3 linked regions of the Caenorhabditis elegans genome follow. Changing the gene in region 2 together with the main gene of any one other region gives a genetic interaction. Each region holds a gene or a part of one and is shown on either strand. Other genes may lie near its edges.

Region 1 (7,604 bases), on a different chromosome or scaffold from region 2:
CCGAAAAGTCCAAAATCGCAAGGGTTAAATGTAGTTTGAAGTACTTAGTAGTCATTTATCTCAAACCAAAAGTCCAAATGGAAGGGCCATACCTAATTATTGGGAACGGATCGAAGGCATGAAATACTGTATCCTGTAAAAGGGCCTGAGCAATTATGAATCTCGCCGACGCGGGGGTACGTACTCTCATCCGGCCGCCCTCTCCTCTGCACCACTTTTCACACAACAATATGGGGGCCACCCCCCTCTACCTAACTAACACATAATTGAGTCCCCCTCTCTACCTATTCAGGTTTTGTTGTTCATTCAACTGTGCGTGTCGTGTGTATTTGTATGGGGTGGGACGAGAGGCGGTGAAGAAGAGGACTAATGGAAAACCACAATTGAAGAGTGCGTTTCATCGTCGATCACCGTTTCTATGGTAGTTATTTTGAGATGACAATGATGTCGATTTTTTTTATTGTTTCCTAGCATTCCATAGTGACCAATTGCCAAAGTTTTGTGCTTAGACAGGTTTTGGGATATTCTCAAGATCAGCGGAATCCTTTTTTTTTGTTGCAAAATTGCAGAAGCATTTGGATATTTTCTTGACTAGATGGTGCAAACTTGCGATGGAGTGTTTCCAGTTCAAGAAAACTGGAATCGGAGCAAGTAACAGGGTTACTGTAGAATGGTTGATGGTATTCTATAGGTTTATTTAACTCGTTCTTTCGTAGCCCCTACGTTTCTTTAAAAATTCAAACTTCCCAGAGCCACAAAATTTCCACCGGGCTTCACGTATTCCCTCTTACCGAACACCTATTCAAATACGTGTCATCTTCAATCCTTTTCCCCTATATCCTTCACTAACCAGGTCAGTCATGTTTGATCAACCATTGTTTCCACACCTGCCCTCACAAAAATCCTCAATCATGATGCGCTCTTATTCTTTTTTCTATGATGTTGGAAATTATGAAATTCAGCTTTCACACTGTATTCTTGTAATGTCTGGACCCTCACTATACACTTATTCAAGCCGTAATTGGCGTGTATACGTATCCATATAATGTGTCAAGTTCACCTGTTTCCTTCATTTCCGTCTGAGCACATGATCCAAAATCTTATACAACTGAATTCCTTTATATAGATTGTGGAAAGTTTCCTGCAATTTCTAGTAGTTCTTGTTTCCTAGTCTTTCGGCTTCTTATCTGCCTTTTTAAAACTTTACCTACCTCATAATCCGTACAGTTCCCATTTTACCTGTTACACACATACACAGGTATTTAGAAACTAAGCATCATACCAGCAATAATAAAAACAATAAATGTTCTTTTCATTGGCAATGAGATATATTCATGCGTCTATGTAAACCAATAACAAAGCTAATTAGAATTGAAAACAACAGGGAATTGAGTGGCAGAGTATAGGTATGTCATGCTGTGCGCTGCCATAATTCTGCAGCTTCAGTTGAGTGGAGTAGGATTGTGAAAAATCATGGTGTACAACTAGTTCTGTAAAGTTTCACTGATATTAAACGTTTTCCATTTACTTTTATTTCACTTCTATTTTTCTTGCTCTCTGATATGTTTTTTTAAATTAATTATCAAACCTATGAAATTACAGATCCATCTCCCCTAGTCTCGGCCGGCCCAAAACGAACGGAGCATATACGGGGAGCCGCGGCACACAAACATACACAAAATATAAATAGGCCACGCCCATTTGTGCATATTTCTACATATATCCTCGCGACGGGCCCCCCGCCCCCCTGAGCCCCTTTTCCTCTTCCTTCTCTTTGCTCTCACAACAACCGGAGCTCTTTCTTTTTGAAAAGAGCCCTCTTTTGTTTCCTGACAGACCAAGTGGAAGAAGTGGTGGTGTGTCAACTTCAGAAGACAACGAACGACGCATTTTTGGATAGGAAATTCGAATTTTTGAATTCCAAAATTCGGTCTTCAAAATGACGATGGAAGCGTTGCTAACACCGAATAACAACAATGTTCCGACGAGTCCCGTTCAGGTAATTTTTTTTTTCAATTTTTATTAGGAAAGATCTATATGAAAGTCCAGAAGCAGTAGAAAAAAAAAACAAAAATAAATACGGTTTTCAAAATCTTTGAACATTGAGGTCTACAAAAAGTCCAGAAATCTACTCGACTGTAACATTTCATATTTTGGTTGCCTAAGATTTTATCAACAAAAATTCAACTAATAAAATATAGAACCATAGCAAAGATACACATTTTAAAAGTAGAACAGTAAACTGCGGTAATTTTGAAGAGCTGTAAGTTTGTTACAGGTTCTAACTGTGAATGGTTTTTTTATTAGTTAAATTAAAAGTTTAAAAAAAGCTTTTAGAACCTGATCATGACAGTTGTTTAAAATTCGGACTAGGTAAACTGGATGCTTAGGCTCCGTTCAGATCTAAAAGCTAAACAAATTGTTGAGCCTTGAATTCTAGTAATAACCATAAATCTGAATATTGTTTCTTCCCCAATGTCCAATCCGTCAGTGAGCCCGAGTCCAAACTTGGTATACATGCGTGTGCATTTGACGTGTCATTCTTTCAAGAAAGCTTCCCAATTCCCAAATGCCAATTTTTCAAAATCCGAGAAGCCTTCTTCCTTACTCTTCTTCTCTTTTCTCCGCCTTTCCGAACCACTCCTTTTCGAAAATACGTCCCATTCATTACGCCTTGAGGGAGGAATGAGGGAGGAATAAGGACCAAAAATAAAAATATTTGTTTTGTGAAAGAGCTCAGAAGCTCAGATTCCTGCGTGCTCATCCACCTATATTATGATGATGTGTTGTGGTGTTGGTGGATGGGAGTGGAAATGACATGAAAATTAAAATATGGAGAGAAAAATTGAAAAATAACAAGAGAATACTAGATTTTTAGATTTCCTGTTGAAAATTGTTTTCTTTTTTTCTAAAAAGTTTTTTGATTATTGAAAAAATATAGCTGAATTAACAATATCATAATTGTGCAATATATGACTAATGAAATTGGTAGAAACGAAGTTTTTTTTTTAATTTAAATTTCTAGAGGTACTATATATATGGAATATTCTAAAACTCAGCGATTTTCTTCAGTTTTTTTGAAGTGTTTCTTCAAAAAATTGATAGAAGACCTATAAATTAAAATTTAAAAACTTTTAAAATTTTGTGAAAATTCAATTCGAAATCTACTAGAATTTATATCACAGTTTTGCTAAATTACGTTCCTCCTCAATACCGGACGGTTCAAAATTTTATTTCTATAAAACGCATATGGAACTCTTTAATCAAAGATCCTATAAAAAACTCTTAAAGTCTATTCATTCCAACAGCGTAGAAAAAAACGTTTGCATATATTTCATTTCATACATTATTCCCTCTCAAATACCCATGGGTATTGTTGCTCTTCCAGTGAGCACACCAGGAGGTGGGAAGAACATGCGGGGGGCTCCATCTCTTCCATATAGACTTGCTCACGCACAGGAAATTTGAGACGTGGCCAAATAATGGACAGCGAAATGGATGAATTCTCCGGTTACTTGTACCGAAGAGCCCTCCCGCGCGCGAGAAAAGAATTGAAATTGAAAATTGAGATCTCCCGGTGGAATGAAAGATTGGAAATCATAGGGGAAATATTTTTGGGTCAGATGTAACCTCCAAAAATGGAATATATAGTCAGATTGGACAAAGATGGCAGAAAAACATAATAATTTATTTATTCCCAAATGAAAAAAATGAACAATTTCCGGGGTTACCGACGCTTCTCACCAATGCTAGGCACCCGAAAATATACGAGGTGTATTATTTATGTAAATTGACAAAAACGGGACTTCTATCTAGGGAGTTCAGAATTTTTTACATCTGAAAATCGTAGATTTTCATTCGAAAAACCGGGACCATTATACAAAAATCGCTTTTAAATTTTAAATTTATATTTTTTGCAGACAACCTACACAAGTACACAACGATACTGCTCCGCGCCAAATGTGGATATTGGAGAATCAAAAACAAATTTAATTATCAATTATCTGCCACAAGGAATGACACAAGAAGAAGTTCGGTCCCTTTTCACATCGATCGGAGAAATTGAATCTTGTAAATTGGTCAGAGATAAAGTAACAGGTGAGGAGGAACTTCTATATTATTCATTATTTTATTTTAAACTTATATATTTTCGAAATCCAAACATTATCTAGCTAGATCACCCCTTGCCTTATCATTTTTATTTCTGACTGATTTTTGATTCCCAACCACGAATTGAGTTGCTCTAACCGTTTTTTGTGTCTCGCCGAAAAAGTTTAGCATGAAACTAGATTTTGACGCCTCTTTTCTGATAGATCACAAATAATTTTATTTTCTTCTTTCGGATCGATTTTTGTAAATCTGTACATGTGTGCGTGTGTGATTGCTGCTGCCCCGCCCGCCCTACTCCCCCTAAAGTTTTTCATTTTTCGGTTATTACTTTTTTCCGTGATGTTCTGATATTCGTTTCAACTTTTCATTATTTTTTTCAAAATCACTCACACACACACACAATTGTACACCAAGAATTCACATTCACTTTTTGTGCTAAACATTTTTGAATAGGGATTGTTAAAATTCTAAAGTTGTGATATCTAAATACTTTTTTGGAATAGTTTCATACCATTAAATCATGTGAACTAATTTAGAATAAGCAGCAAACTGTTTGTAGCAAAAAGATGTAGGGAGATTATTTTTCAGAAAGAGAGCTCTACAAATACAATCAGAAAATCTAAACCCGTAACCTATAAATAATTGTTCTTTTGTTATATTTTCACACTCTTTCTCTCTCTTCTCTCTTCGGCATTTGGTGTTTTTTCATTTCAGGACAGTCCCTTGGTTACGGTTTTGTTAATTACGTCCGAGAAGAGGATGCTCTTCGTGCAGTCAGCTCATTCAATGGCCTACGATTGCAGAATAAGACGATCAAGGTGTCAACTTTTTTTTTTTTTTTTCGGAAAAATATTATTATTTTTAGTTGATTTACATGCTACTTGTCTTTTACTTTACTTTCACTCTTTTTTATTTTCAAAAAAAGTTTTTAATTTTTCAATTGTTTGGGTGTTCCTTTGACTATTAGAAAACACCCCCTTGCTCCTGTTGTGCAATTTTTGTTTTAAGTTTTCAATCTTTTTATTTTAATATTTTAATTTCAAAATTTAATTTCAACTTTAATTTCGCGAAACCCCTTTCCCGATTTATAATGATTTTAGCTTCTAAATGTGTGTCTAAACGTCCGTTAAACGTCTCACGTCTTTCAAACAATCACTAATAGGAGCAATAGATGTGCACAAAACGCTTAGAAAATGTTTAATTATATTTTTACTTGAAAATTCGCATTCTTCATATATGTAAAAGAAAAACATTCACTGGTAAAAATACAAAGTTAAATTTTAGAATATTAAAATTGTAATCTATAACTTGAAATTTTCAGGTATCATATGCCCGTCCATCAAATGATCAAATCAAAGGTTCAAACTTATATGTTTCTGGAATTCCAAAATCGATGACTCTGCACGAATTGGAATCGATTTTTCGGCCATTTGGACAGATTATCACATCTCGAATATTGTCAGATAATGTAACTGGTGTGTTTTTAAAATTATGTGAAATGTGTAAATTTTCAAAATTAAGAAAAATATAGTTGATTGTTTACGGAATATAATTTGTTTCATTTTTTATTAGAGCTATTTCAGGACTCTCAAAAGGCGTTGGATTTGTACGTTTCGACAAAAAAGACGAAGCTGATGTTGCAATTAAAACACTAAATGGAAGTATTCCATCAGGATGTTCAGAGCAAATCACAGTGAAATTCGCAAATAATCCAGCAAGTAACAATCCGAAAGGACTGCTGAGTGATCTGGAAGCCGTACAGCAAGCCGCCACAACACTGGTACCATTGAGCACAATTCTTGGAGCACCGACGCTGAGAGCAACTGCTGGAGGAATCGGACCGATGCACCATGCTCCAATTACTTCAAAGTACAGGTAAGCCCGAAGAAATCTTGATTGATAATAATTGTATTTTCAAGTTTGTATATTCTTCTTTTTACATTTTCAAGACCAATTTCCAATATTTCAGATATTCCCCAATGGGCGCCATCACTGCAGTATCCCAGCCAACCGCTACACTTCCTGCTGACTATTTGACAACTTCTGCGCTTCTTCAGATGTCTCAGTTGAATGCTCTTGCTGGCCTGAACCCTTTTGCCACAGCAACAGCCGTACCTGATTTCACAGCTTCATTAATAGCGCATCAGCAACAACAACACGCAGTTGCTCAACAACATGCTGCACAAACAGCGAGCCCTCCGGCAACAAATGGACAAGTTGCTGGATTAGCAGCTCATGCTCAGTTATCTGCATTGTCAGCTTCAGTTGCTGCCACGTTACCGCCATCAGATACTGCTGGATATTGCCTTTTCGTATATAATCTTTCATCAGATACTGATGATACACTGTTATGGCAGTTATTCTCACAGTTTGGAGCAATTGTTAATGTTAAGGTAAGCAAGAAATTTTAAATGGAAAATTTTTTACTTGAAATATTTGAGATTCTACGAGACCTGACACAACAGTGCAAAGGATATGCATTTGTATCGATGAGCAACTACACAGAAGCCTATAATGCAATGCTTTCTCTGAATGGCACAAATTTGGCTGGAAAGACGCTTCAAGTAGTTTTCAAGTCATCAACTCCATATCGAGCTTAAACTTTTTTGCAAAAATATTCTAATTTCAATCATTCCAGTCACTTGTCTCCCATTCTCTTTTCATTTTCTTCTTCTTCCCCAACCAAAGAAATTGTGATTTTCCCCCTCTGAAATTCCAGTCACTTTTTGTGTGCTACTAGTCACCCCCCCCCCCCCCCCATTGTGTTCCATCCCCTTTCATGAGCAACTGTGAGCAAAACCAATCGAATTCCGGTAACGAAATAAGCCACGCCCCTTGAGAATAATGAGCTTCTGCCCACCCCTGTCCCAAAACCTTGAATCAGCTTTAACATCTTCAAAACTTTTATCAATTTTACCTAAAATATGCCAAATCCTCCGTCACTTTTCAGTATTTCGTACAGTTTTCTGATTTTTATACTGGGTTCCTTGTTTTTCTTTTACAAAGATTTTTTGAAATATTAAAACTAAAATGTGTATAATAAAAATTGTATACCAATTTCAGTGATAAATAATTTATTTTATAGAAAAAAGAAGAACAAAGCTGATGATTAAAACTGAACTCGATTTTCTGATTGGAAGAACTTGTACCAATCGATGATATGAGATGTTAAAAACTGGAATTGATATTTAACCGATTGAACCTGAATGAAAAACAACGGACCTGAAAATTAAATTATTATTTTAAATTGACATTTTGAAAATTTCCCCCGTAATTTTATTGCAATTTTAATTGAAAGTTTATTAATTGTGAAATGTGCTTTTTAAGATGTTGCAAACACCTAATTACTATTTTCACTTTTGAGATATGTTAATTTCTAAATAACTTTTTTTTAATTTCCTAATTTTAATTTTCAAAAGTCAAAATAACAAACGAATTTTATAAAAGAAAAAAGAGCAAACTTACCTGTTAACTTACATTCCCTTCCTATTCAT
Region 2 (5,030 bases):
ATTAACTCGTTTTCTATTAAGGTCATGATTTTTAACTGGTAAAAAAGTAAAACCAAAACTTTTAGTTTAGCGCCTAATGAATTCTATTTCATGTTTTTCACAAAATTATATTTCGCTGAAACAAAGACATTCAGTTTTTCATTTACCCCCCCCCCCCCCCCCATCAAGATCATTTGATCTGGAATCGGCAGTTAATAAAGATAAGAATCGACACTACAGTAATCTTCAAAATAAAACCTATCCTATCTAAGAATCTAAAACTGGAACAAAAATCAAAATCAGTACCTGTTTCCATACCATTTCACCGATGTGAAAAATGGAAAACGGTTTTTGATCGTGCCACTCAAATGAAATCAAACGAGGACAATGGAATGCATAATAGGGGGGGGGGGGGGGGGGAATTGATTCATATACAGTACGCATATATAGTATTACTGATTTGTATATTCATTTGAGGGGAAAGAGGAAGGTGATTTGTGTATGTGACAGCAGACAGGAAGATAGGTAGAACAAGAATACAACACATTTGACTAGAAACATTGAAATGGCGAAACGAAACGAGGAACGGAATATCTTCTCATTCGGTTGCCCCGTCATTTTTTTTCTCGTTCACAAAAGGAGTGAGTCGTGAAAAAAGGTTTTGAGAGACGTCTCTAGAGAGTTTCCAACACCACTTCCACTTTCTAATTATGCACTCATTGTTTTGCTAAGCTGTTGCAGAAAATTTTGTGGTAGGATTATGAAAGGATCATTATGACTCAAATTGCAATTCTTTGATGGTAAACTAAACTGGATTTGGCTAAAAAATTTTAAATGATCGAGTAGCTTTCAGAAATCGTCCAGCAACACAATGTCGCAAAAAGGAAAGAGCAAGTTCAAAAACCTTTTTCAAAATGATTCCAAAAGTTTTCATGTTCGTTTTCAAGTTTTGTCGTAGATTCTCTTAATGCATTAGTACGGACCAAAATTAACTTCAGCTGCGCATCACAGAAAGTTATGCACTATGTCAGCGCAAATTCGCTCTACGGACCAAATCCAATTATTTATGAATTTATAGAAAACAGTACAAAAACTTTTTGTTAAAAGTTTTGCTAAAACAGTTTCTTAAGGTTTTCGAGTCAATTTACCGGGCGTTGGCTAAAAGTCTAACTTGCGGAGACGCAGTGAACAGTTTTTCGTGGCACTTTCATGATCAGTTGAAAAACACTAGCTTAACAGTCCATTGATTCTTGTATAAATGCTAATTTAGAAGAAATACAAATTTTGGACCATGGATTGACTCTACTCTTTTGAATCATTACTTTATATCTCGGTTCATTTTAAAGATATCAATAATTTATTAACTACGAAAGAAAAAGAACAAACAATTATTCTGTTAGTTAACAAATTTTGAATAGAACAAACGATAGCTGAGATATAAGCTGTCAATGTTAAACAATGGGGTGCAATACTAATAGAGCACATATGGTAGCAAAATTTTTTTAACTGGCAAATTAATAGGTTTCCGTTTTTAAACAGTTATTATAAAAACACATTGTCAACTATTTTAGCCAAAGAAAAGACGCACCCGTTACAAACTTAATTTAACAAATGAATAAAAAACTAGCTTTTCGTACACAAAATTAGAATGACTAACGATGCACTATATATCAAAGAAAGAAAGTTGAGGGGTACCGACAGATGTATATTGGAAAAAAAAGTACAGTTTGTATTGTTGGAATGTTACGTTTGTGGACAGACAAAAAAATGTCGTGCTCGACGTCAAAGCAAAACATTTTCTTTCATTTTTCTCCTGTGAAAAATTTCAGGTAAATGCAGAGAGAAAGAGATAAAAAAATAGCGTTTTAAATATGTAAAGATGTATGGGATATTTTGAAAGTGCTGATACTGTTTTTAATAATTGAAAATTGTCTGAAAATTGCTCTGAAAAATAGTGAAGTACTTTTCTAATAAAACGCATAAAAGTCATGCATAAAATTGTCATTCATAGTGTTGCTCAATAGCAAGATCAGAAAATTTGTTGAAATAAGTCAATCACACATTTAAAAAGTAGTGATTGTTAACAGTCAAACTTTCAAAATTTTCGGACCAAAAATCAGGCTCGAGAATATGTTTTCAAAGGTTTTCAAAGGTTTTTTTTTTTATTTTAGCATTATAGCAGTTTAATTAATTTTCCTTACTGACAAAATTTTGCCTTTAAACCTAATAATAGAAAGCGATACAAAGGCAAGTGCATATTCATAGTACCAATTCGTGCAGTTACTTCTTAGTAACTTTAGTATCAAAAAATTAAATACTAAAATCAAAATAATAGATGAAGTACGGCAAGTTGAAAATGATTAAAAACCATTCCTGTAATCCAAAAGTTACTAAATATGTAGCAAAACTATTTTTAAATAAAATTTTTTATTTCGAGTCTAAAAATGTTGGAAACTTATCTTCTATCAATTTTTAGAAGTCGAAGAAGAATTTTTAGAAAAAAAATTCCTACGAATTTTGTTTTTTTTTTGCGGAAATTGTTGCAAATCAATATTTAAATACGGTAGGGATTCGAATATGCGGATTCAAACATGTGAAAGTTTTCTCAAAAAATCTCAAACTTTTCTGTAATAGCCATTTTTTGACTGTCAATAAATCATTCTCAAATAAAACATTGTTTTTCTATGATAATTGGCTATTTTTGCCAACATTTCAGTAGTTTCAACATTTTTTTCCACTGATAATAGTTTCAAAAGTACTGATGTAAACTTTTTTTGACATTTAGCTGTTACACCAGGAAAGACAATCATTCTTCAAAATTAAACAAAACTATATGTTTCGATTGCCCTTTTTTCTTTTCTACATGTGCGCAACACCTGGTGCTCTGTCAGAACGTACACTTGTGCCGCAACCTTTCACGTATGTTTGACTAAAAAAGTGATTCACTCACAGTTTCTTGGTCGATTCGAGCCTTCTTGAACACCGTCCCCTTCTTATTTTGTCGCCTGATACGTCTTTTTAAGGATCTACGAGACATTGCTGAAATTGAGAGGAAGATTGATTAGTCATCAGCAGCCAACAATAACCAATGGATTTGTGGAGTTGCTCGAAAAAATGCTCGTGATTATATTTTCTCGTTGGGGGACGTGAAAAAAGCACTCTTTGCGTTGTAAACTCTTATGTGATAGATATGTGATAAGTTTTAGCGGTATGTAGGGTAGGAGGGAGGCAACGAGAATAATGGGACGTTGGGAGTAGACGATGAAAAATGATAATGGAATTTTCAAGAGTTGAGAACACTTAAAACTACTAACAAGATTAAATGGGTTTTTTTGGCGGAAATTGGGTAAGTTTTTGAAAACTTGAGATTTTTAACAACGACTAATTTTTAAAGATATTCAGACTTTTGGAAGAAACTTATAATGTTTGTAAGATAATCTTTGAAATACATAGGCTACCACAAGAAAATTGATTTCATTTTTAGTGAAGCATTTGTTGAAGGGCCATTTAAAAAGGTTATTTCCCAAAAAAAAACTACATATTTGAAAACTTTAAACAGATTGATGTTTTTATTTTGCAAGATGTGTAATAGTGTATTCTATACTAATAGAACTGATATATATATTAGAGATTGTAAGAATGCTTTCTGAGCATTCTTACAATTTTGAATGAAAAATAAAAAAATAAAAATGATGTTTGCCTGCAAAATTCTGCAAAAAAATTTGCCGTTAAAAAAATGAATTCGAAAGTTAATTTCTCAGCATACACAAAGACCGAAAATTAAATAATTTTTTGAAACTCGAATTAATTTTTCAAATCAATGGTTCCTGTTTTTATACAGAACAAATGCGAAACTTCACAACAAAAGTACACAATTTAAAAACCAAAAACCTGATGTTTCCCAACTGGGGGAAGTGTATGCCTGTCTTCGGCTGATTTATGACTTGACAACGTGTGTGCGCTACTTGCTCACACGTTGTATTGAAACGTGACTTCAGAATAGACACAAGGAATTAATCAGCGCATAACACAGCTATTATGGAATGATGATGAAGTTGAAGGTGGAGTAGCGTAAATGAAAAACTTGTTTTAAAGTACCGAAAATAGTCTGCAATTCACGATAACCACGAATTAACAATGCAGAAAAGTTAAGAAAAAAAATTAAATTCAAAAAATAAAATATTTTTTTCCTTGAAAAAAATTACACTCAAAATAAAAAACTGCGTGGCGTGTACTGCAGAAAACCTAATATTCTTTTTCTCGTCCACCCACGGAGAAAAGACAAAATTCGGGCCCCAACCAATATCAGGCCGCCGACATATCACGGGTTCCGCCCGCCGCTATGTTTAACTCGCAACGTGACAGCTCGCCATGACCACAGCGAGTTAAACGCTGCGGCGCGCGGAACCCGTACGATGTCGGCGGTCTGATATTGGTTGGTGTCCCGAATTTTGTCTTTTCTCCGTGGGTGGACGAGAAAAAGAATATTAGGTTTTCTGCAGTACACGCCACGCGGTTTTTTTTTATTTTAAGTGTATTTCTTAAATAAAGTGTTTATCATGATGCTCTAAATTATTCCAGTCATTAGCTTGCCTGTTGGTCTGTTAATTTAAGGCATTTTTGCTAAAACTGAGTAGTATTTTTAAATGATCCGATAGTTCCCGGAGGTATGAAACTTTGAAAACCATAATTCTATTAATTAATTAACTATATACTCTATAGTTTTCTTAAATGTCTTACATACGATTTTCATACCCCCAAATCATTTCTCAAAGGAAAATCTCAGCATGTTGCTTCCAGTCTTTCTTATTTTTTTCTTTCAATATGACCTTTCAACAATCCACTTGAACGTATCTCGGTCGCTTCTCGGATATCTATTTTCAACGTTTTCCCGCCACCGGTGTGTCCATTGTCCTCCGGCGAATATGGCAAAAAAACCGGTCTTGCTCTTTCCAATCTTGATCTTCAGTTTTTGTTTCAATATTCAGCCTGCTCTATTTTAGTTCATGGACTCATAGACAACTTATGGGTTTGTTTCAAAAACAGTTCTG
Region 3 (4,963 bases), on a different chromosome or scaffold from region 2:
AAACATCATCCGACTGCTTGTTTAAAATGTCAAGAAAAACATATTCTTTCTAATGAGGAAATGATTGAACATGCTAATGAGGCACTTGATGAGCTTGCCAGGCGCTTACAACACGAGACAAGCCATCTTAGTAACTTGAAAGCTGCTCGCCAAGACATGACAACGGCTATTTCGACTCGAACTGGGCCAACAAAACAGAAACTCGAGGAAGTTTTGGATTATATTGGCTGTAGTCAAAAAATTAACTATCAGGGATTAACCGGAAATCAAGTAAATTTGTGATTTTCGGTATTTGAAAATATTCTAATCTTTAGGTTCGCCAACTACTAAGGACAGAAAACATTGACAAAGTACTAAAAGTCTTCACGGACTGTAGTTGGATCCAGAATATGAGAAACTTCATGAATGATTTGGCGTCACTCATGTCAGCAAGCAATAACGCAGTCTTCACAGATGATGATTTGAATGATTTCGCTAAAACTTTGAAGAACTTGAAGAGAAACATCAGAATTCTTCATCCTTCGATGGGAGTCACTCCTAAACTTCACATCCTCTGTACTCACCTCGAGCCTTACATTAGAGCAAAAAGAACTTGGGGTCGTACTTCAGAACAAGGGATGGAAGCGTTTCATGTGCTCTTCAGGACAACAGAGACGCGATTTTCTTCTGTGATGTCTCTCAAGCTACGCGCTGAGTTGATGATCGACTATTTCGCTAACATCAACTATATTTCCGATAAAAGAAACTAGTGACAGCAAACATTTCTAGGAAACCGTTTTTATAGTACATCTCTCTCTCTCTCTCTCACTCACATGTTTTTTTTTCGATTAAATCAATTAAACGAGCAGAAAAGCCATGAATGATCTCTAAATTCCGACTTACAAAGTGTTTTGAGTTGATGATAAGCGTGAATCCTAATTTTCAATTGCCTAAACTAACAAACGGGTTGTGAATGGGTTCAGATTGGGGTACAGCATGAAAATATTTCAAAAGAAGTGAATACAATTTTAGAAAAACCGAATACAAGCAATGTAAACATGAAAATGAAACAAAAAAACGAAAAAAAAATCAACCTTGTTCGAAGAAAATGATGAGAATTAGAATGAGCAAGGAAATGCGAGAGACTTGGAAATGTGAGAGACGCAGCATTTCACGCGAAACGCGCCAGCAATCGTCGCGCTTGCGCATTTCGAGACGAGGATACTGTGTAAAATTGTAATCATTTGTTGCAATTTTTGTTCTTGAGTTAACTTTATTTTTCATTTTCCTCGACCTAATTTCTCAAAATTGTTAAAATGTATACTATTTATTACCCTGCAGTGCTCAAATCTTGTGATGAGCACTATCAAAGTTTTAGATGGAGTTTTTTAAAAAGTATTTTTTTTAGTATAATTGTTTTTTTCAGTAAATTTAGTTTTTTGGAGCAGAACGCTGAAATCTGCCAAGGTTCGCTACAACCAGATATATCTAGATATAACTGCAAATGTGCGCGCTCCATTGAGACTACACGCGACGCACAACCGCGACGCGTATTGGACAGCGTTCTCCGTCTTCTTTGAACAGCATCTGTCCTCAACCATTCTCTTCTCGTTTCTCTTTTAATTTTAAGATATATTTGCTCTTCAAAGGATAAATTTCAGTCAACGCATCGACACGTAGCGAGTGCCTCGACTTGAATATCGACAAAAATGGGTTAGTTTCTTTTTTAATAGTCGTTTTCTTATTGGAATATCGAAATCCGAGTGTCCACTGAAAGTATTTTATTTATCCTCCTAACACCATTCATGTTTTATAAATTAGGTTAATGCGTGAATTTGTGGGAGCTCCCGAATACAAATCACGGGCGTTGCCATTTCTGTTTCCCGGTTATTTGAAAACATTATCGATTTCAGCGGCTTACGACCAAAGTCAACCCGACTACAGCACACCCGAAGGGCAGCAGGCGTATTGGGCCTATTATCAACAGCAACAACAACAACAACCAGGAGGTCAACCTGATGTAAGTATATGAGATTTTGTGGGCTGATCGCCTCACTATCATGGCTTTGCTCAGAATTGTTCAGGAGCATAGTTCTGCTGTTGAATACCACCAGGCTCACAGACGTTTCATAGTTTAAATTTCAGCAGGATCCGTACGCCGCTGCTGCTTATGGAGGCCACGACCAAGCACAACAACCGCAAAATCCATATGCACCACCACCACCAGGAGCGGATCCATACGGCCAAGGATCCGGAGGCCAATCCGGAGGATCTGACCCCTACGGGCAAAGTAGAGGTGGCGGCCGTGGAGGATTCGGAGGCAGTCGTGGAGGAGGTGGATATGATGGTGGACGTGGCGGAAGTCGTGGAGGATACGACGGAGGACGCGGAGGTTACGGCGGTGATCGCGGAGGACGTGGTGGTGGTAGAGGTTTGTTCTTGTTTGATTAATGTATTCATAATAAACCATGTTTTTCAGGTGGCTACGACGGAGAACGCCGAGGTGGGAGCCGATGGGATGACGGAAACTCTGATCGGTAGGTAAACATCTGAATGTTTCGTTAGCAATATGCGGTATTTCCAAATTCGTTTGCTTAACCATCCAAAAATTGTTGTGTTGTGTTGAAAATCGAAACTGCTACAGAGTTCAGAGTATTCAGTGTTCATATACAAAATCTATTCACTATTAAAAACTTGCGAAGAGTAATGTATTGTGTCCGTCATTGTAAGTTTCATGAAAAAAGGTCAGTGTCCGCAATGAAGCACAAATTCATTGTGCTTTATCGATTTGTAGGGCTATGGCCCGGTTTCCTTCAAAATATTATGCAGTTCAGCTATTATTACGTGTGTTCGGTATCAAAACGAGTCAAGAGTGAAGAACAAATGAAGTCTACCAAACGACTTCGAGCGTGCAGGAGATGCTTCTGTCTGAAATCTCTCATGCTTGAAAAATCTTAAAATCTAAATGATCGTGTTTGTGCGTACAAAAAAAAATCAATTGAAGGTGTATTATTGCGCGGTCGAAATCTGAAAACATTTTACTGTGGTGTTAGCATGAGAGAAGAAGACAGAAGACTCCATTCAAGAATGATGTTTTGCAGACAGGGCGGACCTCCAGGAGGAAGAGGAGGTTATCAAGGTATTGAATACGTAAATTGCTTTATCTTTCGTACCACAACGAGTTTATTACCAAAATTAAAAAAAAATGGGTATCCTACCGAGTTTATCATCGAAATTCAAAAACAAAAAACATTAAACGAATATAAAAATACTTGTTCCTGTGCTTTATATTATTGACAGTTGGACGAAAAAATTGTTTGTAAAAGTTTTCATATTTTCATTGCAGACAGAGGACCCCGACGTGACGGACCACCAAGTGGAGGAGGATACGGAGGCGGTGGTGCTGCTTCAGGAAACCGCGAATTCGGATCCGATGGGCGAGTTGAGTTGAAGGAGACCGTCTTTGTGCAGGGAATTTCCACCACGTATGTTTTGTAATCGCCCAATTAAAAAATGTATCTATATTTCAGTGCAAATGAAGCCTACATCGCCGACGTCTTCAGTACCTGCGGAGATATTGCAAAGAACGATCGCGGACCGAGAATCAAGATTTACACCGATCGCAACACCGGAGAACCAAAAGGAGAATGCATGATAACATTCGTCGATGCTTCTGCAGCTCAACAAGCTATAACTATGTACAATGGGCAACCATTCCCTGGCGGCTCAAGCCCGATGAGTATTTCACTAGCCAAGTTCCGCGCTGATGCAGGAGGTGAACGAGGTGGTCGTGGTGGACGAGGCGGTTTCGGAGGTGGTCGTGGTGGTCCTATGGGAGGACGTGGTGGCTTTGGCGGTGATCGTGGAGGATATGGCGGCGGCGGTGGTCGTGGAGGATTCGATGGTGGTCGCGGTGGTGGCGGTGGATTCCGTGGCGGAGACCGAGGAGGATTCCGAGGTGGTGATAGAGGAGGCTTCCGCGGAGGAGATCGTGGAGGATTCCGAGGCGGCGACCGTGGTGGCGATCGTGGAGGATTCAGAGGAGGCCGTGGAGTAGGTGGCGGAAATGCTAATATGGAACAAAGGAAGAATGACTGGCCATGTGAGCAGTGCGGAAATAGCAACTTCGCTTTCAGAAGAGTTAGTTAATTTTGTTTTTTCAAAAAAAAAACACGGGTTTTCTTCTAGGAATGCAATCAATGCCAAGCCCCGAGACCAGATGGAGGATCCGGAGGTGGTGGTGGCGAGCGACGAGGAGGACCACCAGGAGGTGACCGATACCGTCCATATTGAGCCATCAACTCGTCTCCCCATAAATTTTAACATCTAATTTAAATTCTCTGATCTCTTCAATGTGAGAGACTTGTAACAATTTTATATCCACCTTTATATTCTACTTCGATACATTCAAATTTCAATGTTCTTTTTATATTTCATTTTTTCCCACTTTTTATTTTTAACGAAAATAAAAATTTTTGCACATTAACATCTGTTTTTTTTGCAATTGTCCGCATTTCCCTACCCATCAGCTGCTTTGCGTGTCACTGTCTGTTTTCTCTCCGCACTTCATCTCTACGTCACACTATCTGCTTCTCCATCTCTTTCGTCTCGACCTCCCTTTGCCTCGGCGCCCACCTCTCATTCTTCCAATTTACCCGGGAGAGACTGTCCGTTCGAAACTTCGACCGACTAATGAGCAGTATTACAGGACTACAAGGTAAGATTCGAAGAAATCGCTATGAGAATAGATTTTTAGTAAGATTATTCTCGCATATTCAGAATAAAAATATAAAACTATCAATGAAAGTTATTTTAGATTCAGAATTAAAGTATAGTTCTTAAACTTTATGATTGATAGGCTCTACGAACATTTAATTTGAAGATAAAAACGTAGAAAGTTACATCGTAATTTAAATAGACTCTGACATGCCTTCACAAAGGCACACGGATTTATTCAGATGGGTCTTCGCGCGCAAAAAAGTTA

The links. A genetic interaction does not mean that the proteins touch.
Region 1: changes in mbl-1 (region 2) and exc-7 impair growth when combined (synthetic growth defect), as found in Caenorhabditis elegans (one study listed by BioGRID).
Region 3: changes in mbl-1 (region 2) and fust-1 impair growth when combined (synthetic growth defect), as found in Caenorhabditis elegans (one study listed by BioGRID).

The regions. Positions count from the first base shown.
Region 1 is NC_003280.10:9,574,369-9,581,972, forward strand, and holds exc-7 (RRM domain-containing protein), read left to right. Parts: upstream 1-1,602; 5' UTR 1,603-1,939; coding exon 1,940-1,999; intron 2,000-3,920; coding exon 3,921-4,098; intron 4,099-4,824; coding exon 4,825-4,928; intron 4,929-5,431; coding exon 5,432-5,585; intron 5,586-5,693; coding exon 5,694-5,985; intron 5,986-6,079; coding exon 6,080-6,503; intron 6,504-6,551; coding exon 6,552-6,710; 3' UTR 6,711-7,167; downstream 7,168-7,604. Other genes in the region: Membrane-associated tyrosine- and threonine-specific cdc2-inhibitory kinase wee-1.1, read right to left, coding at 7,597-7,604.
Region 2 is NC_003284.9:16,976,594-16,981,623, reverse strand, and holds the start of mbl-1 (Muscleblind-like protein), read right to left. Parts: upstream 3,017-5,030; coding exon 2,930-3,016; intron 1-2,929. UniProt on the Caenorhabditis elegans protein: Binds to RNA with repeat sequences 5'-CUG-3' and 5'-CCUG-3'.
Region 3 is NC_003280.10:7,151,012-7,155,974, forward strand, and holds fust-1 (RNA-binding protein FUS), read left to right. Parts: upstream 1-1,640; 5' UTR 1,641-1,688; coding exon 1,689-1,692; intron 1,693-1,892; coding exon 1,893-1,999; intron 2,000-2,124; coding exon 2,125-2,410; intron 2,411-2,458; coding exon 2,459-2,516; intron 2,517-3,080; coding exon 3,081-3,118; intron 3,119-3,325; coding exon 3,326-3,464; intron 3,465-3,509; coding exon 3,510-4,119; intron 4,120-4,167; coding exon 4,168-4,272; 3' UTR 4,273-4,461; downstream 4,462-4,963. Other genes in the region: T07F8.1 (Zinc finger PHD-type domain-containing protein), read left to right, coding at 1-270, 315-749; C27H5.2 (TAR DNA-binding protein 43 N-terminal domain-containing protein), read left to right, coding at 4,672-4,696.